Macaca fascicularis: one gene and its partners. The protein of the gene in region 1 interacts with the protein of each later gene in a biochemical or structural test. Links are inferred from orthologs where the notes say so. Each region holds a gene or a part of one and is shown in the gene's direction. Other genes may lie near its edges.

The links.
Region 2: of the proteins of NFKB1 (region 1) and IKBKB, one has a biochemical effect on the other in vitro, tested with the Homo sapiens proteins (4 studies listed by BioGRID and IntAct). The link is inferred for Macaca fascicularis from reciprocal best matches to the Homo sapiens genes NFKB1 and IKBKB.
Region 3: the proteins of NFKB1 (region 1) and MAP3K8 form a complex in vitro, tested with the Homo sapiens proteins (2 studies listed by BioGRID and IntAct, with this or other methods). The link is inferred for Macaca fascicularis from reciprocal best matches to the Homo sapiens genes NFKB1 and MAP3K8.
Region 4: the proteins of NFKB1 (region 1) and ELF1 form a complex in vitro, tested with the Homo sapiens proteins (2 studies listed by BioGRID). The link is inferred for Macaca fascicularis from reciprocal best matches to the Homo sapiens genes NFKB1 and ELF1.

What each region holds. Positions count from the first base shown.
Region 1 is NC_088379.1:108,166,776-108,173,443, forward strand, and holds the start of NFKB1 (nuclear factor NF-kappa-B p105 subunit), read left to right. Parts: upstream 1-2,725; 5' UTR 2,726-3,180; intron 3,181-6,668.
Region 2 is NC_088382.1:45,838,747-45,844,593, forward strand, and holds part of IKBKB (inhibitor of nuclear factor kappa-B kinase subunit beta), read left to right. Parts: intron 1-1,968; coding exon 1,969-2,096; intron 2,097-4,483; coding exon 4,484-4,574; intron 4,575-5,847.
Region 3 is NC_088383.1:31,170,535-31,176,734, forward strand, and holds part of MAP3K8 (mitogen-activated protein kinase kinase kinase 8), read left to right. Parts: intron 1-1,317; coding exon 1,318-1,485; intron 1,486-3,090; coding exon 3,091-3,352; intron 3,353-4,479; coding exon 4,480-4,586; intron 4,587-6,200.
Region 4 is NC_088391.1:20,303,120-20,309,319, reverse strand, and holds the end of ELF1 (ETS-related transcription factor Elf-1), read left to right. Parts: intron 1-2,512; coding exon 2,513-3,116; 3' UTR 3,117-4,506; downstream 4,507-6,200.

The sequences.
Region 1 (6,668 bases):
TAGACAATATTGATGCCTGAAATTCCACATTGAGGCATTTTTTTTCTCTTCATAGCCTGATAATGGTAAATACCTTCTGACACTTTAGGATGGATGAATTTGTAAGAAATATTCCTGGAAGCAGATTTGTACAGAGTATAGAGAAAACGTTGGGTAACAAAGCAGGAACGGAGGAGGGTTAATCAGCGAGCCAAAAAGAGTAAACTGAAGGCTTTTACAGTTTTATCTGCTGTGCTGCATGGAATTACATCCCCCCAAAACGTATGTTCAAGTCCTAACCACAGGTACCCGTGAACATGAGTTTATTTGGAACTACGATCTTTGCAAATGTTATCAAGTTAAGATGAGGTAATACTGGATTGGGGTGGGCTCTAAATCCAATGACTGGTGTCTTCATAAAAGAAAGGTGAGGGAGATTTGAATATAGGGACACAAAGGAAACACAGGGAAGGAGACCATGTGACCATGTAGGCACAGAATGAAGTGTTGCACCCAAGCCAAGAATGGCAAGGATTGCTGGAGCCACCAGAAGCTAGGAGGCGGCAAAGGATTCCTCCCTAGAGTCTTCAAGGGAGCATGGCCTTGATGGCACCTTGAGTTCAGAATTTTAGGCTCCAGGACTGTGACAGAATAAATTCCCATTGTAAGTCATTCAGCCGGTGGTAACTTTTTACAGCAGCCCCAGGAAACTAACATGCCTGCTCAACACCCTACCCTCAATTTTAAGTTCATTTTATGGAATCATTTTGAGTTTGGAGTCTGATTTAATCCCTTTCAGTAATTAACACTCTTCATTTTTTACCCCCAAATATGTCACACTGGCTCTACTCTTGTAACAATTCTATTTACCTATCTTTTGGTAATGGGGCTGCCACTCCTTGCAGAATGAAAAGTAGAGCGTGTATGCTCATACCTCCCAAAGTGGGGGAAAATCCACACCCCTTACACTTTGTTTCATGGGAACTTGCAGACTTCTTACTCATGTCACTGGCAAAAATCATTTTACATAAACTATATTTCAATCTCCTATACTATTGGCATAATTTCTAATCTGTCCCATAAATAACAACACATAATTTCTTTCTTTCTTTTTGAGAAGGAGTCTCGCTCGGTCTCGCCCAGGCTGGAGTGCAGTAGCACAATCTCGGCTCACTGCAACCTCTGCCTCCGGAGTTCAAGCGATTCTCCTGCCTCAGCCTCCCAAGTAGCTGGGATTACAGGCGCCTGCCACCAAGCCCGGCTAATATTTTGTATTTTTAGTAGAGACGGGGTTTCCCCATATTGGTCAGGCTGGTCTCCAACTCCTGACCTCAGGTGATCCACCTGCCTCGGCATCCCAAAGTGCTGGGATGACAGGCGTGAGCCACCGCACTCGGCCCACAAAATTTCTTAAAAAGTCGTTGTGTTCAGTCTTTATGGATCCTCTGAATTCCACCTGCTCAGCCTCCAGGAGCTAAATGAGATCGCTTAAAGGTCAACTGTTGGGTGCCTCCAAGGTCGCCCCAGAGGCTCCTGTCATAGGCAATCAAATGAATCTCTGTTTTTACTTTTGGTTGTGCGCGTATGTGTGGTTTTTTTGTTTGTTTTGTTTTGTTTTTTGTTTTTGCCAGAAAAACACTCCACCAAGAAGGTTTTTATAACCTAGTGGAGGAGGAGGACGGAGAGTGGGCACAAAACGACTAGGATGAACATGCTATAAGGAATCTGAATGCCACTGCACTATTGCCTGGTAAGGACCTGATTACCGATATTTTAAAGCTAAGCTTTCAGTTGTCACTCGACCCACTAGTGAAACAATGAGCTCTAAAATATATGTTTCAGCTCAAGATTTCTTATGTGGGGAGGTAATGCAACCCAAGGTATCCCCAGCCTGTGCCTAGTACAGCGCCCAGCACTAAAGCAGCTCAGATGCCAGTGAACGGTGGTCACTGGCAGGCCTGTCAATGGGTGCCAGTAGCGGTCTCTTCAGAGAAAAAGAAAACTCCCCTCTGCCAGATCAGTATTTTATGAGCTGTAAACCAAAACCATTGCTACCACCATCACTATAATTCTATCCACAGTAATTATCATAAAGGCCTAACAATGCCTTGTAGATGAATATTGAGTAACTGCCCTATAACGAGGATATTTAAGACCGCACCAAAAACCAGTAGAGGGTTATACTTTACTGGACACAAGTCGGTTATGATAACGAAATTCTAGTTTAATCTGTGAAGAGATCTGAATGTAACCGAGACACATTTAAATGGAATATACAGATGAGCTTTATTTTTATATCTGGCATGCTTGGATCCATGCCGACCCTCCAGCTGCTCGGGCCTGCCCTTAGGGGCTATGGACCGCATGACTCTATCAGCGGCACCGCCGCCGCCTCCGCGCCGCCTGTGTTCCCGGACCACTGGGCCCGGCTGGCGCTTCCTGGGGGCGTCCCTACCGGCTCCAGCCCTCGGGATTTGGGAGCGCCCGGCTAGGAAGCCAGAGTCACGCCGGGGATCCCGGCGTCCAGGCCGCCTAACGCGCGCCCCTCGCCCGGCGCCCCGAAGCGGCCCCGAGGGGCGGGAGCCCAACCGAGCAACGAGGCCGGGCCGGGGGCGCACGGCCCCCAAAAGTGCGGGCTTCCCCCACCCCCGGCAGCGACCCCACCTCCCGCCCCCGCTGCGTGCGCGCGTGTGTCCGTCTGTCTGTATGCTCTCTCGACGTCAGTGGGAATTTCCAGCCAGGAAGTGAGAGAGTGAGCGAGAGAGAAAGAGAGAGAAGTGCACCAGCTAGCCGGGGCAGGAAGAGGAGGTTTCGCCACCGGAGCGGCCCGGCGACGCGCTGACAGCTTCCCCTGCCCTTCCCGTCGGTCGGGCCGCCAGCCGCCGCCGCCCTCGGCCTGCACGCAGCCGCCGGCCCCGCTCCCGGAGCCCAGCGCCGCCGAGGCCGCAGCCGCCCGGCCAGTAAGGCGGCGCCGCCGCCCGGCCACCGCGCGCCCTGCGCTTCCCTCCGCCCGCGCTGCGGACATGGCGCGGCGCTGACTGGCCTGGCCCGGCCCCGCCGCGCTACCGCTCGCCCCGACCCGCACCCGGGCCCGCTCGGGCTCCGGCCGGCCACCGCCTCTTCCCTCTCCAGCCCGCAGGCCCGCGCCGCCCAGGAGGGAGAGACCTGCGCCAGGAGGCCGAACGCGGACTCGCCACCAGGGTAAGCCAAACTCGGGCGAGTGGGGGCCCGGCAGGGGACGCGTGGCTCGAGTCCCGCCATCCAGCTCTCCGCACCCCCTCCAGCCCCACTCGGACTTCCTCATTCCTGCGCTAACCGCTGGGCTAGACCGTGGGAGGAGGTTGACAGTAGTGAGAGGCACATGGGATTGGCGACAGCGGGGTAAGGCACATCCGGACCTCGCAGGGGCTAGTCGGCCGAAGGGCCGTGGCTGCCCGGCGCTCATTTCTCTTCACGTCCCTCCGCGGGGTGGGAATGCGAATCGGAGGGGAACTCTTACAAACTTTTAAAATCCCCCAACCCCAGCCCCAGCTGGGGGATAGTGAGAAGGTTGAGGTGCGCTGCGGCGCGGAGGAGAGAGGGAAGGTGGTTGGTGCAGTGCAGAACCAGATTTCACCTAAGGGCGTTCCATGAAATGAAAGAAGAAGTGCTTGTCAGTCCTCCTGGCAGGGAAAGCCCTCTCCAGCTCCCCAGAATTGAATAGGAGAGTCTATTCATCCCTCTCCTACTTCTAAAAGAAGCCTGGCCCTCTCTCTGTCTCTTTTTCTCTCCCTCCCCCCACCCCTCCGTACACACACACACACACACACACACACACACACACACACACACACGATATAGTCACCTGCTATAGGACTTGATTCTGATCCTCTGGGGCCTGGCATTTGAGAGAGAAAATAAATTACCTAGTTGGATACTTAGAGCACTTTTTAGACTTGATTATGTAAAATTCTTGGACAGTGCCACCATGTATTATGCATGACTTCTGAAACAAAAACAATGTAAAAACAAAGCCTATCCTAAATGTAAGTTTTTCTATGGTCCTTAAAAACAGACACCAGGGAATGTTTGCCCTGACTTACTGGTCTATCCTGAAACTGAAATGGGACTTAATGATACAGGATTTAATTATCAAGATTTGAGACATTTTCATGGACTTTGTTAAGTAGAGGTTTTCAGCATTACAGTTTATGAAATAACCATATTTAACTCAAAGATTTTGTTATAAAGCTTATAATCTGAAAAAATGCTTATGGTATTACTAGAACATTTAATAACTCTGGCATCAAAATATTCTACACACTGGTGATCTTTAGTAAATACTAAAGGTTAGGGTCAAGATGTTCAATAATTTTCTTCTAGCAGAATCCCACAACTGAATATTGTCAAGCAGTTTAAACTGCATTCGTGTTTGTTAAAACTTTAAAAGGGAAACTTAAAATTGAAGTATGTTGTTTTTCTGATTTTAATTTTGTGCTTTCTAGAGATGAATCCTTTTACTGCTTGAGGCACTATGGGAATTATGTGTTTAAATGTATGTATTTAAATTTGAAGCAGTGTACTTTTTTCAGTTTATAAACTTGGGAAGACAGGAAATGAAAAGATTTATTTCCTGTAGAATTTTACGTTCATGATTTAATTGAATTGCTGAAATGAAAAGAACATATACGATGAATGGAGACTTGGAATCTGAGATTATTCATCCATATTGATACACCTGCAATTCCTAAATGCCCTCCCCTGCTTGTTTAGATAAAATGTCTTCCTGGTCTGCAACCTACTGGACAAACTTGAACACAAAGGAACACACGTTTTATGTACATTTAATACTGGAACCGAAAAGCTGCTTGCAGTGAAAAGCAAACCACTTCTAAACTCTTTGACACTTTTTAAGGAAAATAGTATAATCGTTTTGGGGTTGGTGGTGATTTGAAAATCTTTTATCTTTTTTTCTGAAATTTCATTCTTACGTTCGTCGTTGGCACTCACTTGTGCTGAGTAAATGCCCCTGTTTTTCAAACCCAGATAGTAAATACTGGGGTATACATACAAAAATAGTCCTTCCCCTTTGTAAGCATTGCTTTGATCTTTGCACTTCCTTTTTACTCTACCTCTTAAACAAGATCTGTGATGACTGAGTTGATTAAAGCACAATTAATCTTGAAATAGGAAGAATTTTAGATTTAGTGATCATATTCCTTACATTTCTGTTGTTACTGTTCCTGGAAACAAATTGAAGTAGTGTGAGAAACTAATTATTTATGTAGGTTGTTTTAGCTACACTTTTAGACTTGCAGATAATTGATTAAGTAAGTTACTACCTTGACTTTCAGGGATTGCTCATTGTGGTAGATACGAGGTCTAGATAGGGAATTGGCAGCTACATGAATGTTGGACTATCATTCCATCAGCAAGACCTTATTTTTACCTAATTTATGAGAGGTATTTCTCTCTTCAGAAGAGGTGAAAGTTCTGGCTTCTGAGGGGAAGTGATTACTTCATAACCTTCAATTGGTTTGAACTTGGGAGAAGTAAGAAAAGTAGTCGATATTTTCAAACAATAAAATAATTGTGTCTGAGTTGCTGTATGGATTTTTCATGAAGTACTCAAAAATGTCATCTTTTTCATCTTCAGGTCTTAATAGATGTGCTCTTCTGAGCATAGAATTGACTGCAGTAGGAAGTGTATCTGGAAATGCACAGTACTGTTGTATAACCAATAGAGTAAATACTCAGATTATGCGCTTCTAGTCCACAGATTGATCAGAAATCACATTAACAGGAATGGATGTCTATGAATGAATGGCTATGCAAAATTTCTCATTAGCTTTTTTACTTTTAGTAGGAAGTTTGTTTTATTTGGTTGGTCTCTTGGTTTTCTGTTTACAATGTGAATTGTCTACAGTAGTGGGATTGTTATATTAGAAGAGAAGGAGAAGGCAAAATAGAAGTTAGTGCCAGAGGATATGTTAAGATATGCTGCTCCTACATCTACGTTTGTGTCTAATCAGCGTTAATTGATGACTACGTCTTGGTAACCAGTAGACCATACTGGAGCAATTTACTCTGCTTTTTGGGAATTAGTTCTCATTTGCACTCTTGCACTTCCCATGAATATTGAACTCACTTGCAGTGTTCTTAGAGGTGAGCAATAAACCATCAAGAGCATATGATATCTCTTTGAATTCTGTCACTACTTTGGAGACAGAGAGTTTGGAAGAACTGAAGCTACTCAGCCTCAGGGAGAAAGGTTTGAACATTTTGGCATAGTCCTGCAAGTCAATTTGGCTCCTTGACTGTGAATTTTTTTTAATCAAAAAAGATTAATATTTGAAACCACATAATTTGGTACAGTTAATAGTTCTGGTAACATAACCAAGCCTTTTATCTTTGTAATATTTCATTAATTAGTATCCAGTGCCTCACTTTTAGAAGAAAAAAAGAGAAAAAAGTAGTTAACATTCTTTTAATGATGATGAAATTGCTTCATACTTTTGGTCTCTGCTGTATTAGAGGTTGTTCCTGGGTGCAAATTAATATACTGTCTTTTACATTTCCGGAGGTTGTTGACCTGGCCTTGAAGATCAGCCAACAGTTTAGAAAATAAGTTGTGCAAATTGCATTGCTTCACCTCAGATAATTTAAAGCCTGACAGTTCTGTATAAAATAAGAGTCACATAAGATGCAAT
Region 2 (5,847 bases), on another chromosome or scaffold:
AGCTGCAGTTTCCATGCACAGGGGGAGCTCTAGTTTGTCTTAGAGGAGAGGGAGCAACAAGAAGGTTCACAAGGAGCTGTTCCAGCTGAAGAGTGAGGATGTTCCAGGACAGAGACGTTGCTTTATCAAAGGCAGAGAGCCTGGGGAGTCAGTGTGTTCCGAGTGGGGATAGGCTGGTGTGTGTGGGGAAGGCTACGATGGAGGATGAAGCTGCTGAGGTAGGCAAGGGTGAGCTTACGCGGGCCACACTTTGTTTTCTTTTCTTTTTTTTTTTTTTCAAGACAACATCTTGCTCTGTCTCCCATGCTGAAGTGCAGCTGTGCAATCTCAGTTCACTGCAACCTCCACCTCTCAGGTTCAAGTGATTCTCCTGCCTCAGCCTCCCGAGTAGCTGGGACTATAGGCTCATCCCACCACACCTGGCTAATTTTTGTACTTTTAGTAGAGATGGGGTTTCACCGTGTTGGCCAGGCTGGTCTCAAACTCCTGGCCTCAAGAGATCCACCTGCCTTGGCCTCCCAAAGTGCTGGGATTAATGGCATGAGCTACTGCGCCTGGCCCATGTCCATTTTCAAAGCACACAGGACACATCGCAGTATCTGTCTTTTCCCTTGATATTAAAGGAATTGAGTGTGGGGATATGATCACATCTGGGATTTTGGGAAGTCCCTCTCCAGGCAGCTGGAGAATCTGAGCCCTTGGCCAACCTCAGCACTGAGAAGGGCCCCTCAGCAGGGTTGGAGTTGAGCCACCCCTGTGCAGCACAGGACGGGGCGGGGCAGGAGCTGGGGCAGGGCCTGGCAGGGAGGGAGCCAGGCAGCGCAGGAGCCATCCCCTGCCACACTTTCGGTCAAGGGCAGAAGCACAGGAGGTCAATGCTGGGCCTCTCCCAGGCATGGTCAGCAGGGAAGGTGCAGCAGGAGGACCAGGAATGGAGGCTTGGGCGCTTGCATGGCTCCTTGACTTGTGGGCCTTGAGGTTTCGCTAGAGGGGAGGATGTGGAGCCAGGAGGGTTCCATGGCCTGAGGGACATGTGAGGGGATGAAGGACTGCAGGCCGCAATGAGTGCCAGGAGCGGGGGTTGGGGGACTACACAGGTGGGTTGGGGACCATGCAGGGCAGAGATCAGTGGAGGGGTGACCTGAAGGTTGGCCGGCGGTCATGGGCTGTGAGCTGAGGAGGCTCAGGTAGCTGGAACAGGAGCCCCTGCTTGACCCTTTGGGCTGGGAGGAGCAGTGGCTGCAGCCCCTTCGGAGTCAGTGCATCCTGGTTTCTTCTCAGCCAGGTCATAGAGGATATGAGCCACAGGAACTCCCATAGCCTTTGTGTGTGTGTCTGTCTTCTACCTGGAAAAGAGTAAAAATACTTTCCTGTTCTTTTCTTGTAAAAGTTCATTAAGGGGCCGGATGCAGTGGATCATGAATCCTAGAACTTTGGGAGGCTGAGGCAGATCACCTGAGGTCAGGAGTTCGAGACCAGCCTGGTCAATACGGTGAAACACTGTCTCTACTAAAAATACAAAAATTAGCTGGGTGTAGTGGCACATGCCTGTAGTCCCAGCTACTTGGGAGGCTGAGGCAGGAGAATTGCTTGAACCCAGGAGGTGGAGGTTACAGTGAGCCAAGATCGCTCATTGCACTCCACCTGGGTGACAGAGCGAGACTCTCAATCATTATCAATCAATCAAGCAATAAAGCCGATGAAAATAAAAAAACCTGCAATAAATGTAGGCACCCAGGTCTCCTTAAATTTAGAATCCTTTCCTCAAAAGTCCCCCTGTTGATACAGAAACACTTTTGAAGCCAGATATGAAGCACCAGCTGCCCCCCAGGTAGGGGTGCCGACTGGTAGGCTGTAGGGTTAGCTCTGGCATCTGGCAGTCAGTTGTCTCCTGAGAAAATACTGTGGTGTGAATGCAAAATGTGATTCGTCACTTGGCTCCTAATTTCTTTTGATTTTGTCCCCTAGAGCAAGGTCCGTGGTCCTGTCAGTGGAAGCCCGGATAGCATGAATGCCTCTCGACTTAGCCAGCCTGGGCAGCTGATGTCTCAGCCCTCCACGGCCTCCAACAGCTTACCCGAACCAGCCAAGAAGAGGTAGGTCCCCGTTAGCAGCGCCAAGTGTGACTGTCGAGGGCACGTCAGGAGATTGGGGATGGAGGCGTTTGTCACTGGTAAATGTCTGTCCAATGATATCACTACCTCTCTGGATGTTTGTTGCATCTGCTAGGTCCTGTGGGGACAAAAGTGTTACATGTTTTGCTCTCCTAGTCCCTTGAAACTTACTAACTAGTTTCTTTGTCCAAGGCTTGGATGACTAACTGCTTAATGAGAACATTGGAAATGCTGGTTGGGCACATGCTGCTACCTTTTATCCATAGGAAGCCACATTCCCTTCAGGGAGGCCCACTTCATCTTTCATCTCCCCTGAGCCATCTGCCCCCACTCACCCTACCACTCCCTTGAGTTACCAAGTCACCACCCTCCTTCTGGTGCCACTGACCTTCCCGTTCTTCCCGTCCTCTGCCTCCTCTTGCCTGAACCATGGCGGCAGGGCTTTCTGCGTCCTGCCTCCTGCCTTTCTGCTGCCAAGCCCTGTGTGGTTGAATTAATCTTCACAAAATACCACTCTGACCAAGGTATTCCTTGGTCAGTCATGAATAACAGCTTCCCCCTCCGTTATAGATGCTCAGGTCTGAGCTTTCTTCAGGTCTCATCTGTGCCAGTAGCACAGTATCAAATTCTCAGGTCCTGCCGGAGACCTCACTTGGGAGCTCAGGGTTGGGGCCCAGCAGTCTGTGTCTAGCAGCCCTCCGCCCATTCTCCAGCACACTGCAGGCCACCTCTGTTCCCACGGTCGTCCCTTCCTGTGGTTTGTTTTGTTTGACACTTTCTGTGTGCAGGGCTCTATGGGTTTCTGCAGGAACTAATCTCTAGGCATGGGAAACACTGATGATTGCCTGGGGCAGGGGAGGAGGATGGGAGTGACTGATAATGCAAGGTTTCTTCTGAGGATGAAGAAAACATTCTGAAACTAGACATGGTGATGGTTGCACAACTCTGTAAATATGCGAAAACCCTTGAATTGTACACTTTAAATGGGTGAGCTTTATGGTATGTAAATTATATCTCAATACAGTCTGCTTTGAAGAATCTTGTTCTTGTCCTTGGGGACTTTGTAGCCTATTTTGATATTTATGTGACCTTGGATACTTAATTTTCTCTCGGCCGTATGGCACATTCTTGTAATCCTAGCACTTTGGGAGGCCGAGGCAGGAGGTTTGCAGGAGTTTGAGGCAAGCCTGGGCAACGTAGTGAGACTGCTTCTCTTTTTTTTTTTTGAGACGGAGTTTCGCTCTTGTTGCCCAGGCTGGAGTGCAATGGCGCAATCTCAGCTCACCTCAAACTCAGCCTCCTGGGTTCACGCGATTCTCCTGCCTCAGCCTCCCGAGTAGCTGGGATTACAGGCATGAGCCACCAGGCCTTGCTAAATTTGTGTTTTTATTAGAGACAGGGTTTCTCCAGCCTGTTGGTCTGGCTGGTCTTAAACTCCAGACCTCAGGTGATCCGTCCGCCTCAGTCTCCCAAAGTGCTGGGATTACAGGCGTGAGCCACCGCATCCGGCCCTTTTTTTTTGTTAAATAAAAAGTACTTCCCCAACCTCTCATGAGCTCCTGGAGTATAGTAGCTAGGCCAGGAGCCTCTTCCATTCCCTTCTGGGGCAGGCACTGAGCCTTTAGCCTAGCTAGAGGCCCTGTAGCTGAGGTTTGGCAAAAATGTACTCTGAGCTCCTGCCATCAGATTGTCACATTTTGCAGAGTGAGAGGAGTTCCGGGGCACTGTCTTCCCTTACGTGGCTTATTCCCTTCAATGATGTCCTCAAAGCTCTAGAAAGGTAGACCTGGGTATGTAGGATGTCTCTTGTCTCCCCACAGCATAGAGCTGAGGTTAGAAAAAGATGTTTTATTACATGCTGCGCTTTCTCAATGTGGCCCAATCCTCAGAGGAAACATGGGTTTCTTATTATAGAAAAGAGAGAGATCAGATTAGATGAAACCAAATCCCAGAACTGCTTTTCAACAGATTCCAAGGAACTATGGAACCCTGATAAATTGGTTGGCCCTTTTTTTTTTGTCTACTTCAGAAATTGGAAAACAGGTGATTTGGAGAATATCTTTAGATTTTGGCAGTTTGAGAATTAAATTCAGCTATCTAGTAAGTCAGAAAGCAGAAAGAGCTCTTTTTACTTCTGACTTTTTATGGAGATCTGTTTGCCTTTTTGGCAGTAATGCTCATGTGTGGAAAGTGCATAACAAGATGAAAGTATTAGTCAATGGGTTGGTGTTTTAAGACACTCAGGATCAAAATAATTGTTACTTCATTTAAAAAGTATTATCAAAACTCTTTAGCATATTTTAAAATAGCAGTGTTAGCTCTGATAACTAATAATGATCGCTTTCTAATAATTTGATCATTTTCTTTAGTGAAGAACTGGTGGCCGAAGCACATAACCTGTGCACCCTGCTAGAAAATGCCATACAGGACACCGTGAGGGAGCAAGACCAGAGTTTCACGGTAACAGCCTGTGTGAGCCCCCTGCGATTCCATGTCCTTTCATTCTATAGCAAAAGAGAAAAGAAAATGGAAACACAATCTGGCATTATCCCCAACCTCAGTGTTTGTTTGTTTGTTTATGACAGGGTCTTTCCCTGTCACCCAGGCTGGAGTGCGGTGGCATGATCTTGGCTCACTGCAACCTCTGCTTCCCGGGTTCAAGTGATTCTCATGCCTCAGCCTCCTGAGTAGCTGGGACTATAGGCGTGCGTCACCACACCCAGCTGATTTTTTCAGTGCATATTTATAATTTTCCATTACACATTTTTTATTATTCATAATAATAGTGATGACTAACAATTATTGAAGGCTTACAACTACATATATGCATTATCTTATTTAATCCTTGCAACACTTAATTCCTATGATGAGGAGGAAGGTAGCATTTTCCCCAGAAGCCTGTCCCCACCTGCACCATTGGTACTACTGCTGAGGATTTGTGTGTTGAGTGCTGGGCTGGGAGCGGGAACCAGCCATGGCCATGTCCTCAGGGCCTTGGAGCTTAGCAGTAGGTAGTACTAGTTATGAGACCACTAGTCAAGATATAGGTACATTAAGACAAAGCTTCATTGTTGAGAGAATCCTGCATCATTTGCCTAGATCTTTACATGGTCTTTACCTGCTAATCACTTGCTAACCTCCCCTAACTTTAAGCTTTTCGGAAGAATTGCAGGGGATACTACTGTGAATTGCAGCCTTTGCTGATGTAGTCGCATGTCCTCCTCCAGTCTGTGGGCATTCTGTATTTCTTGCTGCTCTCTTCCTCCTGGCACAATAATGTTTTGATCAGTTCATTGCTTACTTGCACGTCCGTGGGAGGAAGAGGAAGTCTCATCAGGCCGAGTCATGTGGTGAGGCTGGAAATCCATAGCTGAGATTAGCTACCCACAGTGAGCACGAGAGTGAGTGCTGTGAGCCACGGTGGTACTGACATCGCCTTTCTAATTCCCACAGTCACAGAATCTTAAGGACTCTGAGCCAATCCAAAGAAAAGATCCTGTACAGTTTGAATATGTAACTTAGCTCAAGAGTGCCCTGCAGTCACAAAACTTATTAATAAAAGGGTTTGGCTTTTTAATTTGTATTTGTTTAATTAATTTATTTATTTTATGCAGCCTGGGTCTTGCTATGTTGCCCAGGCTGGTCTTGAACTCCTGGCCTCAAGCAATCCGCTCGCCTCTGGCTCCCAAAGTGCTGGGACCACAGGCATGAGCCACCATACCTAGCCAATAAA
Region 3 (6,200 bases), on another chromosome or scaffold:
TTGAACCTGGGAGGCAGAGGTTGCAGTGAGCCAAGATCATTCCATTGCACTCCAGCCTAGCCAACAGAGCAAGACTGCATCTCAAAAAAAAAAAAAAAAAGAAGAAGAAGAAGTTTCATAATTCCTGAATTCCGAATCAGAAGCTGTAATATTACTGATTACATTGAGGAGAAACTGGTACTGAGGTGATTTATCCCTTGAAAGAACACTTTGGACATGTTACAGACAGGTATTCCAGATCGCATTTCCCATGAACTACCATATTATTTTGTTTTAATTTTGATTATAATTATTTTCTCTTCTAATTTTTTCCTCTTTAAAAATTGAAATATATTTTATATATAGCCAAATACACAGATGTTAAATGTCCAATTTTACGAGTTTTGACAAATGCATGTGCCTTTGAACCCACATTGCTATCAGAGTAGACCTCTTAATTTTTGTTTTATTATTTTAAAATTTATATTGTGTTTTTATTTCCTTCTGTAGAAATGAGGTCTCGCTATGTTGCCTAGGCTGCTCTTGCCTCAAGATAGCCTCCTGCCTCAGCCTCCCAGTGTGCTAGTATTACAGGCGTTATCCACTGCTCCCAGCTGTCTCTCAATGTTTGAATCAACTAGTTTCAAAACTTCTAAGAGTCAGCTTGCTTGTGAACCCTGGGAGGTCAAGGATCAGCCATCTCTTGTTCATGGCTGCCTCCGCAGCGCCAAACACAGTGCCTAGCAACTTTTTTGCACACAATAGATACAATGCATGCAATAGATATTAAGTGAGTAAGTAGATGAGAAGTAATTCAGCCCTCACTTAATTTACATAGCATTGTCAACTCATAGCTCTGGCATACGCTGTGGTTTTCCAAAATCTTCCATGATCATCAGTTAATTTTGATGCTCTTTCTCTGTATGCATCATGTGTGAGTAATAGCTATGTGGACTAACAGGTTCGCACATTTTAATAGAAACAAGTCAACCTGCAGGCATGGTTTATATTTACGCAATCTTTATTTTCAACCTTCTGGTTGCCGTAGTCATGCTTTTTTAGATAAATAATTTTTAAAGTTCTATTTGGCAATTAATTACTCATGAGTAGGTGGAAATATGACCAGGTCTGACCAGGCACCTGTGTCTGTTACATGCTCTCTCTGACTTCCTCAAGCTCTAAATATAGGTCTGTACAGTTGGTAGGATTAAGCACGGTGACATTAATTTTGTAACTGTGTATCAGAATGCTGCTAAAATAACCAGTCTCCTAATGGAAACTTAGAAAAAGTCAACTTGACTGAAGTCCTCACCCTCTCACATTTTTATTTTGCTGTAGGTCATCACTCCTCAAAATGGACGTTACCAAATAGACTCTGATGTTCTCCTGATCCCTTGGAAGCTGACTTACAGAAATATTGGTTCTGATTTTATTCCTCGGGGAGCCTTTGGAAAGGTATACTTGGCACAAGATATAAAGACGAAGAAAAGAATGGCGTGTAAACTGGTATGTGTTATGTAACTAGATAACCCACACTGTGTGTTTGGCATTCTGGCTTTTGTTTGTTTGTCCATTTGCATTAACCAAAGATTTTTATCCTTTGATTGGATCTTATCTAAGGGTGCACTGCCTCAAAGCATTTGTTTTTCTGAATTCATTGGCTACTTGGGGCCATTCAGCCCCAAAATCTCTGTTTAGGAGCATAGTTGATTTTAATCTAGATGATTACAAGGAAAGTGCTGGTTTTTAAAGCACTGATTTGGATAAATAACATCATCACTCTTGGAGAGAGGTAGAGAAGAGCCATCCTGCGAAGTAGAAGCAATTCTATGTGATTCTCCTTTCATTCAGCTGCGGAGGGGGCCAGGCAGAGGCAGATTGGGAAGGAGGTAGCCTTCTCAGGAAGGCAGATTTAAAAGGCTGAATTTAAATATATCAATGATTGAAAAGACCCTATCCCTTCTTTTTTTTTTTTTTTTTTTGAGACAGAGTCTTGCTCTGTTGTCCAGGCTGGAGTGCAGTGTCAGGGTCTTGGCTCACTGCAAACTCCACCTCCTGGGTTCAAACAATTCTCCTGCATCAGCCTCCCAAGTAACTGGGATTACAGGCACCCACCACCATGCCCACCTAATTTTCATATTTTAGTAGAGATGGGGTTTTGCCATATTGGCCAGGCTTGTCTCGAACTCCTGACCTCAAGCCATCCACCTGCCTTGGTCTCCCACAGCACTGGAATTACAGGCGTGAGCTGCCGCACCTGGCCTGATGTGGTTTTTCATTTTGATTTAGATGGGGGTTACATTTGTACATTCAGTTGATAATTCATTGAGTTGGACTCATCATTTTTACACTTTTTTGTATGTCTGTTTTGCTTTAATTAATTTTTCAAAAAGTACAACAAAAAATACACTCACTTTTGATTTAACAAAAAATAAAATAAATAATTGCCAAATATTATGTCTTGGTCTCTCCTATTGTAATAAGAGAGTAGCTGGGATTACAGGCGTGCACAACCAATGCCTGGCTAATTTTTGTATTTTTTGTAGAAATGGGGTTTCGACATGTTGGCCAGGCTGGTCTTGAACTCCTGGCCTCAAGTGATCTACCCACATTGGCCTCCCAAAGTGTTGGGATTACAGGCATGAGCCACCGTGTCCATTTTCAGTGCTTATTTTAAATACGTTGCTATAATAGAGTATGAACTGTGGCAACAAACACTTCATACTATCTCACAATAAACTGAAATATTGAAAATACAACCTAAAATCTAGGTACCAAAGATACTGTTGTCTAATAGGTGGGAAATTATCTCTTTTTTGATTCATTCATAATTTGAAAACATTGGATGGATTTCTGACTTCTAAGTGAAAATAATAACTCATTATTTTGTTTTTTATTTTCTTGTTCTGAATTTTATACTGAAAGCTGACTAACATAGTTAAAGGCAGATCTGAGGCAAACAGTATTGTACCTGGGCAGTCCGTTTTCACACAGGGCAGAGTATTCTTGAGGACATTTATTTGCCTTTTGGTTTTTGCATTGACCTATATTATATATTTTTAAGATGACTTTGGGGTTGTTTAGAATCTCGCTCGTATTTTTGTGTTCCAGATCCCAGTAGATCAATTTAAGCCATCTGATGTGGAAATCCAGGCTTGCTTCCGGCACGAGAACATCGCAGAGCTGTATGGCGCAGTCCTGTGGGGTGAAACTGTCCATCTCTTTATGGAAGCAGGCGAGGGAGGGTCTGTTCTGGAGAAACTGGAGAGCTGTGGACCAATGAGAGAATTTGAAATTATTTGGGTGACAAAGCATGTTCTCAAGGGACTTGATTTTCTACACTCAAAGAAAGTAATCCATCATGATATTAAACGTAAGTATCTTTGGACATACACCTTTTTGGCTCAAAGAGACTAGTTATTCAGGAGACAAACAAGCTCCTTCCTGTAATCTGAAGACCCTCCATGAAGGATGGAAAGCTCCCTCAGAGCACCGTCCATCTTCCTTCTCCAGAGACATGTCTTAGAATCATGCGGGGTTACTAGAGCTTTCCAAGTCATACAGAAAGATTACTTTGAACAGTTGTTGAAAAGTTATAGCTACATACCTCTTAGGTACTGCTCTGTTAAAAAGGCTTTTAAAATTGCAGTTTAGGCTGGGCGTGATGGCTCATGCCTGTAATCTCAGCACTTTGGGATGCTGTGGCACATGGATCACCTGAGGTCAGAAACTGGAGACCAGCCTGGCCAATGTGGTGAAACCCTGTCTCTACTAAAAATACAAAAAAAAAAAAAAAAAAAAAAAATTAGCTGGGCGTGGTGTTGGGTGCTGGTAATCCCAGCTACTTGGGAGGCTGAGGCAGGAGAATCATTTGAATCTGGGAGGCGGAGGTTGCAGTGAGCTGACATGGCGCCATTGCACTCCAGCCTGGGTGACAACAGCAAAACTCCGTCCCCTCCCCACCAAAAAAAATGCGATTTACTTAAAAACATACAAACACAGAGACAAATATTTTTGAGAAACAAATACCTCTTTCATTTTGTATACCAATGTAATAATAATCCATTAAACACAACTTTGATAACTGTTTTCTAGGAGTCTGATATGATGAGGAAATAGGTAAACCTTTAATAGCCGGTACTAAATTAGAGTGGCATAACTTTTACTGGGGGAAAAAAATGGGTATTTTACTTTTCTGCTTTAGAAAAGTGGCTTGACAACAATATGCTTATGTCGTAGAGTTTGAAACTCAAGTTCTTGACCATTATTAATGGCTACAATCATTCATACCCACATTGGCTGAATTCCTGATGGATCCGAAGTGATTTTCACCTAAAATCTGAGATGCATTCTCCCCTTTTGAATATAATACACCCATCTCACTAGAGGAAGCATTTCAGTCTTTTCTGATTTGAGATTCATTATTGTTTCAGATAATGTTTTCATTTGACTTATGAATATATAAAAAATTTTATCTTAAAAAATTTCCTCTCATTTTAGCTAGCAACATTGTTTTCATGTCCACAAAAGCTGTTTTGGTGGATTTTGGCCTAAGTGTTCAAATGACCGAAGATGTCTATTTTCCTAAGGACCTCCGGGGAACAGAGGTAATTATATTCACATGAAAAGGGTTACTATTTTATTAAGAATAAAAAAGGAAAAATTGTTCTATAATTATCGTGGGAATGAAGGACAAAGAAGGGAAAGAAATCCATTGCATTAAATCATTATTATCCTTGGAACACGTTTAATGAGCACTTGCTCTGTGTCAAGTACTAAGTTTAGCACTTGATTTTTTATTTTATTTTTTGCTATGTTATTTATAATACATAATAGTATTTGTAATATAATATACATGTTGATATATAGAACATTTCTATATATAGAACATATATAGAACATTTATAAACAATGTAATGACAAAATAGATCATATTTGCCCGGTGTGGTGGCTCATGCCTATAATCCCAGTGCTTTGGGAGGCTTAGGTGGGAGGATTAATTGAGCCCAGGACTTTGAGACAAGCTTAGGCATCATAGCAAGACCCCATCTCTATAAAAAAAATTCGTTCAGGCTGGGCACGGTGGCTCACACCTATAATCCCAGCACTTTGGGAGGCTGAGGTGGGCTGATCACCTGAGGTCGGGAGTTCGAGACAAGCCTGACCAACATGGCAAAACCCCATCTCTACTAAAAATACAAAATTTGCTGGGCATGGTGGTGGGCACCTGTAATCCCAGCTACTCGGGAGGCTGAGGAAGGAGAATCATTTGAACTCGGGAGGCAGAGGTTGAGGTGAGCCAAGATCGCGCCATTGCACTCCAGCCTGGGCAACAAGAGTGAAACTCCATCTCAAAAAAAAAAAAAATTAGTTCAGTGTGGTGGTACACCCCTGTAGTCCCAGCTAGTTGGGAGGCTGAGGTAGGAGGATTGCTTGAGCCTAGGAGTTCAAGGCTGCAGTGAGCCATGGGCACTCCAGCCTGGAAGACAGAACAAGACCTTGTTTCAAACCCTCCCCTCCCCCACAAATAGATCATATCCACAGTTCAGCTTTATGTTGTGTGGTTTTGGTTTTGGTTTTGGTTTTGGTTTGTTTTGTTTTGAGACAGAGTCTTACTCTGTGGCATGATCTCAGCTCACTGCAATCTCCACCTCCTGGGTTCACACGCTTCTTAGCCTCCTGAGCAGTTGAGATTACAGGTGTGTGCCACCACATCCAGCTAATTTTTTGTTTATTTTGCTTTTTCAGTAGAAATGGGGATTTCACTATGTTGGCCAGGCTGGTCTTGAACTGTTGGCCTCAAGTGATCCTCCCGCCTCCCAAAGTGCTGGGACTATAGGTGTGAGCCCCCGTGTCTGGCCCACAGTTCAGCTTTCATAATAATTGTAGAATTATAGTTAACTTTATAATAAGTTTAGCCCTTAAAAAGCAGTATGTTATTTAATCCTTACAACAACCCAGTTGTTGTAAATACTATTATTGTAAGCAGATTCTATTGTTATTCTCATTTCACAATAAAGGAAATAAGTTTGCAGAGATTAAAATAAAGTGTCCAGAGTCACTCAGTGACAGACTCTGGACTTGAACCCAGTTCTTTCTAAGTCTAACCCTAAAGTCTAACTGCTACATAACTTTAAAAAAATATACTACTATATACATTATTAAAATATATTACTGATATAACTAATATCACTTTGTTTTGGCTCAATGACAGTCTTAAT
Region 4 (6,200 bases), on another chromosome or scaffold:
ATGGTTCGGCGGCACATCGGCTCTGCAGTCAGATGGCCTCTCTTCTTCTCTAATTGGTCACCTTATTCAAGCTGTTACAACCTGTTTGTGCATCAGTGTTTTCATACGTAAGATGAGGATAATAATATTTGTAGGGTGACAAGGTTATACATATCATAAGGTTATGCATATTGATGTAATCTGTGTGCTATATATGCCAAATATCTATGCGTATGTTATGTAAACTCTTGTCATGGGAAGCCCTTGGGACTTTTTTATTTAAAATGGTATCTGGGCTCGGCATGGTGGCTCACGCCCAGAATCCCAGCACTTTGGGAGGCCGAGGCGGGTGGATCATGAGGTCAGGAATTTAAGACCAGCCTGGCCAATGTGGTGAAACCCTGTCCCTACTAAAAATACAAAAAAAGTAGCTGGGCATGGTGGCGGGTGCCTGTAATCCCAGCTACTCGGGAGGCTGAGGCAGAGAATTGCTTGAATCTGGGAGGTGGAGGTTGCAGTGAGCTGAGATCGCACCATTGCACTCCAGCCTGGGCGACAGAGCGAGACTCCATCTCAAAAACAAACAAACAAACAAACAAAAAACGGTATCTGGCTATAGCGTCAGGTACTATACCCAGACTCCCATCTCACCCCAGATTTCCCTGAATCAAATGGGCAAGAGAGCTTGGGTGGCCATCTAAGTTTGGTAATCCGTATCCTGTGTGAATGGGCGGCTCTAGTCATCCTGTGCCTTGATTCCCACTTCTTTTGAACCTGTGCTGAATTGCTCTGGGTCTTTGTTTCATCTTTCCACCAAGCCAACTTGTTTTTCTCCTCCACTATTTTATTTCTCATATGTGGGAAACAGACTGCATAACTAACTTTCAAAATGTAGCTTTAATAATCTAGTGGTAATATGTAACACTTGGTTTATGGAGACTAATCTAGCTGTTAGTTGTTTGAAATAGCAAGTATCTTTCATTAAATAACTTTACAGAATTCAGAGAAACAGTTGACATCCAGATGCTGAGATTTTTCAACGACATTTGTTTTATACTGTATTAATAACCATAACTATAAATTTTAGAGCGGTGAACTTTTTAAATTAGATTGGCTCATAATATCATTTATGTAACTTTCTCTTCAATGAATGGGATTAACAACCTACACAAACTAGATTTTTCATTAAAGGATTTTATGTTAAACTGTAGCGTTATGACCAAAATTTGTGAAAATTTGAACGTGGAAAACTGCTAAAACATGCTTCTATGTATTTTTCCAAAGCTTAGCCATATTTTCTCTGCCAGTCCAAGAGCCCTGACAGGTTAATTATAATCATGGCTTGTTTCATCTAAATATGACATGAAATGTGAGCTATTAAAATTCTAAGAATTCTGTCATATGGTTAAGACTGAGGTAGGTTTTTTGTTTAGGTTAATTAAGCACTTCCCCCTTTATATATAAAAACAGGTTGAGTACAATTATATGAATTTTTGTAATTATTGTGGATGAGCATGTTGGTAACATTATCTCTCAAGTATTAAAATAGCAGGCCGGGCTCAGTGGCTCATGCCTATAAGCCCAGCACTTTGAGAGGCCAAGGCGGGTGGGTCACCTGAGGTCAGGACTTTGAGACCAGCCTGACCAACACAGAAAACCTGGTCTCAATTAAAAATACAAAAATTAGCCGGACGTGGTAGTACATGACTATAATCCCAGCTACTCGGGAGGCTGACAGGAGAATGGCTTGAACCCAGGAGTTGGAGGTTACAGTGAACCAAGATCACACCACTGTACTCTACCCTGGGCAACAAGAGTGAAACTCCATCTCAAAAAAAATAGCAGGAATGAATCAAACAGATTTGCTTTTAAATTCCTAATTTTAAGCAGCTCAAGCAAACTTCTTGCTAAGCATTTTTTTTTTTTTAAAGACAGAGTCTCGCTCTGTTGCCCCGGCTGGAGTCAGTGGCGCGAACTCCGCTCACTGCAAGCTCCGCCTCCCGGGTTCACGCCATTCTCCTGCCTCAGCCTCCCAAGTAGCTGGGACTACAGGCGCCCGCCACCATGCCCGGCTAGTTTTTTGTATTTTTAGTAGAGATGGAGTTTCACCATGTAGCCAGGATGGTCTCGAGCTCCTGACCTCGTGATCCACCGGCCTCGGCCTCCCAAAGTGCCGGGATTACAGGCGTGAGCCAACACACCCAGCCCTTGCTAAGCATTTTAACATCCTCCTCCTTCCCCAACAAAATTAGCTCCTCATTTGTGTTAATGTGACCCTATGTACAGACCTTTCTTCCGTAGCACTCAGCAGCTGGTATCATAGTTAATGGCCTGAGAGTTTTGTGTTAGGCATCTCTGTATGTAGTGTTTAATACAAAGTCTGGCATGATGTTGGTCATGCTGTGTTGAAAATATGGGAAGTAGCATTTTGAAACATACAACTGGTATTTTGTAAAATGACTTCTCAAGTATTAAAGTGTTAAATGATGTAGAATATGCTAATTGTCTCACTTTAATTTCATCATCTCAATAGGACTATACAGGCTCCAACCCAAGTTCCAGTGGTTGTGTCTCCTAGGAATCAGCAGTTGCATACAGTAACACTCCAAACAGTGCCACTCACAACAGTTATAGCCAGCACAGATCCATCGGCAGGTACTGGATCTCAGAAGTTTATTTTGCAAGCCATTCCATCATCACAGCCCATGACAGTACTGAAAGAAAATGTCATGCTACAGTCACAAAAGGCAGGCTCTCCTCCTTCAATTGTCTTGGGCCCTGCCCAGGTTCAGCAGGTCCTTACTAGCAATGTTCAGACCATTTGCAATGGAACCGTCAGTGTGGCTTCCTCTCCATCCTTCAATGCTACTGCACCTGTGGTGACCTTTTCTCCTCGCAGTTCACAGCTGGTTGCTCACCCACCTGGCACTGTAATCACTTCAGTTATCAAAACTCAAGAAACAAAAACTCTTACACAGGAAGTAGAGAAAAAGGAATCTGAAGATCATTTGAAAGAGAACACTGAGAAAACGGAGCAGCAGCCACAGCCTTATGTGATGGTAGTGTCCAGTTCCAATGGATTTACTTCTCAGGTAGCTATGAAACAAAACGAACTGCTGGAACCCAACTCTTTTTAGTTAATATACCAAAGCTTATGGATGATTGTTTGTTAATTGAACATTTTCAATTATATGCAAACTGATTGATTCTAAGATAAAGTCTAAGGAGGTTTCTAATTTTGTAATTGTTAAAGATAGAGTTAATTTTGATTTTGTTAGATGAGGGAGGAAAACTCAACTGTTTCTCTTTGTTATCTAAATGTTTCAGAATTCAGTCGTGAAGGAACAGGCATTTTACACTATGAAGACATGCTTTTGAGATTCTTTTTTCAGTTGCTATATCATAAGCATTTTTAAAGTTCCTTTTCTAATTTTACATTGTATTAGATTTTCTGATTCTTTTGTAAATACAGAACTTAAATAGAAGGCAACAGGAAATTTATATAGGAACTATTTTCATTCCACTTGTGTAAGTTAAGTCTTGACTCTTTCAAATGCAAAAAACCTATTTTATGCTTTGTTAAAATTATGGTGTCACTTAGATTGACTTTAGCTGGCTGTACTATATAATATAGAACTATGAATATGTAAAATAACATGAAAAATTGGAGGTGCTGGTAGTGTGGCTGACCCTGTTTCAGAAACAGGATAGTGTAAAAGCATCAGCCTAAGAATGGCACTCCCACTAACTCGCTATGTAATCTTGACCTCTTTGGGCTTTAGTTCTTCTCATAAAAGGAAGAGATGTGTTGGACTAGACTAGATGATCACCACTGTCTCTTCTAGTTCTAATCTTTTTAATTCTAATACCTGTATTTTCAAGTTATGTCAATTAAATCATTATCAGGTTATTTCCTAATGTAAGAATAGCTGAAATGTTGCAGAGAAATAAGTGACCCAACAAAATTTATTCATCTGTGATGGGTAAGATTTGCCATAAATTCTTCCTAAATAATTTGTTTACTATGTTACTAACTCTTTAGGCCACTGTGCTTTGCAGTCCATTAGTAAACTTGTGTTGCTAAGTGCTAAACAGAATACTGCTATTTTGAGAGAGTCAAGACTCTTTCTTAAGGGCCAAGAAAGCAACTTGAGCCTTGGGCTAATCTGGCTGAGTAGTCAGTTATAAAAGCGTAATTGCTTTATATTTTGGATCATTTTTTATTGGGGGTGGACTTGGGGGGTTGCATACAAAGATAACATATATATCCAAGTTTCTGAAATGAAATGTTTTTAGATTACTTTTCAACTGTAAATAATGTACATTTAATGTCACAAAAAAATTGTCTTCTGCAAATTTTCTAGTATAACAGAAATTTTTGTAGATGAAATCATTATGTTTAGAGGTCTAATGTTATGTTTTCATATTACAGAGTGAATTTGTATTTAAACAAAAATTTAAATTTTGGAATCCTCTAAACAATTTTGTATCTTTAATTGGTTTATTATTAAATAAATCATATAAAAATTCTCAGTGTTTCTGTTTTCAGGCAAAAGTTTCTTAAAGAATAAGTGTACAAAGAATATTGCTAGAACATTAGCATTACTTAATGTTTATAAATAAACAAACTCCATTAGTCAGAATTGTAGGATATCATCCTTTCACTTTTCCTTTATAGCAGGCCAAATGGCAGTTTCTAAACATCACACAATGGATTACCAAGTTGTAAAAATTAGACAACAATAAAATATTCCCAGCAAAAATATTAAACACACTTTTGTTTCGTTTTGTTTTGTTTTTGAGACAGAGTCTCAGCTCTGTCGCCCAGGCTGGAGAATAGTGGCATGATCTCGGCTCACTGCAACCTCCACCTCCCAGGTTCTAGCTATTTTCCTGCCTTAGCCTCTCAAGTAGCTGGGATTACAGGTGCCCACCACCACATCCAGCTAATTTTTTGTATTTTTAGTAGATACGGGGTTTCACCATGTTGGCCAGGCTGGTCTTGAACTGATCTCAGGTGATCTGCTCGCCTTGGCCTCCCAAAGTGCTGGGATTGTAGGTGTAAGCCACCACGCCCCACCTAAACACACTTTTGAAAATAAGTTTTCTAGTTAGAAACTAGGTCAGTTAATAGTTAAACTTGGAAAACATCGAAAAATTTTCTTATGAAAATTAAAGTCTCTGTAATCCAATAAGAAGTAACTTTCACTTATTCATTTTTTCATGTTTGTGAATGTTCTTCCAAAATGTGATTTTAAAGGCCGTGTAATATTATATTAGTACACCAAAATCCAGTTAAATAAAACCTTTTTAACTAGATAAGTTAGTTTTATAGTTTTTCACCACATAGTGAATATCAGTGTCTTAGTTTGTCGTCTTCGTTGCTGCTATAACATAATACCTGGGACTGGGTAATTTATAATGAACAGAAATTTATTTGCCCACAGTTCTGGAGTCTGGGAAGTCCAATATTCATGCACCAGCAGGTTTGGCAGTTCTCATTCCAAACAGTGCCTGAACACCGTGCTCTCTGGAGGGAAAGAAGGCTTCATCTTCAAATGGCAAAGAGAAAAGCAAAGAGCCCACTTCCACTTCCAGAAGACTTTTATTTATTTATTTATTTATTTTTTGAGACAGAGTTTTGCTCTTGATGCCCAGGCTGGGGTGCAATGGCGTGATCTCGGCTCACCTCAACTTCCGTCTCCCGGTTTCAAGTGATTCTCCTACCTCAGCCTCCCAAGTAGCTGCGATTACAGGCATGCACCACCACACCCAGCTAATTTTCTATTTTTAGTCGAGGCAGGGGTTTCTCCATGTTGGTCAGTCTGGTCTCGAACTCACAACCTCAGGTGATCTGCCCACCTCGGCCTCCCAAAGTGCTGGGATTACAGGCGTGAGCCTTTTTATGAAGGCATTAAACCCATCCATGAAGGTGGAGCCCTCCTGGTCTAATCACTGCTTAAAGGCTCCACCTCCCAATACCTTTACTTTGGCAATTAAATTTCAACATGAGTTTTGGAGGGAACAAACATTCCAGCCATAGCAGACAGTACATAATGATTTTTTGAAAATTAAGGATCTTGCACTATTTTTGAGTCAGTTATCCTTAAAGGAGATACCAGATAAACTCTCTTTATTTATAATAGTACCATTTAAATTGTGTATTTTTTTTAAGTTTAAAAGGTATAGTATAAGAATTTTTAGAGACACTATTATTTAAG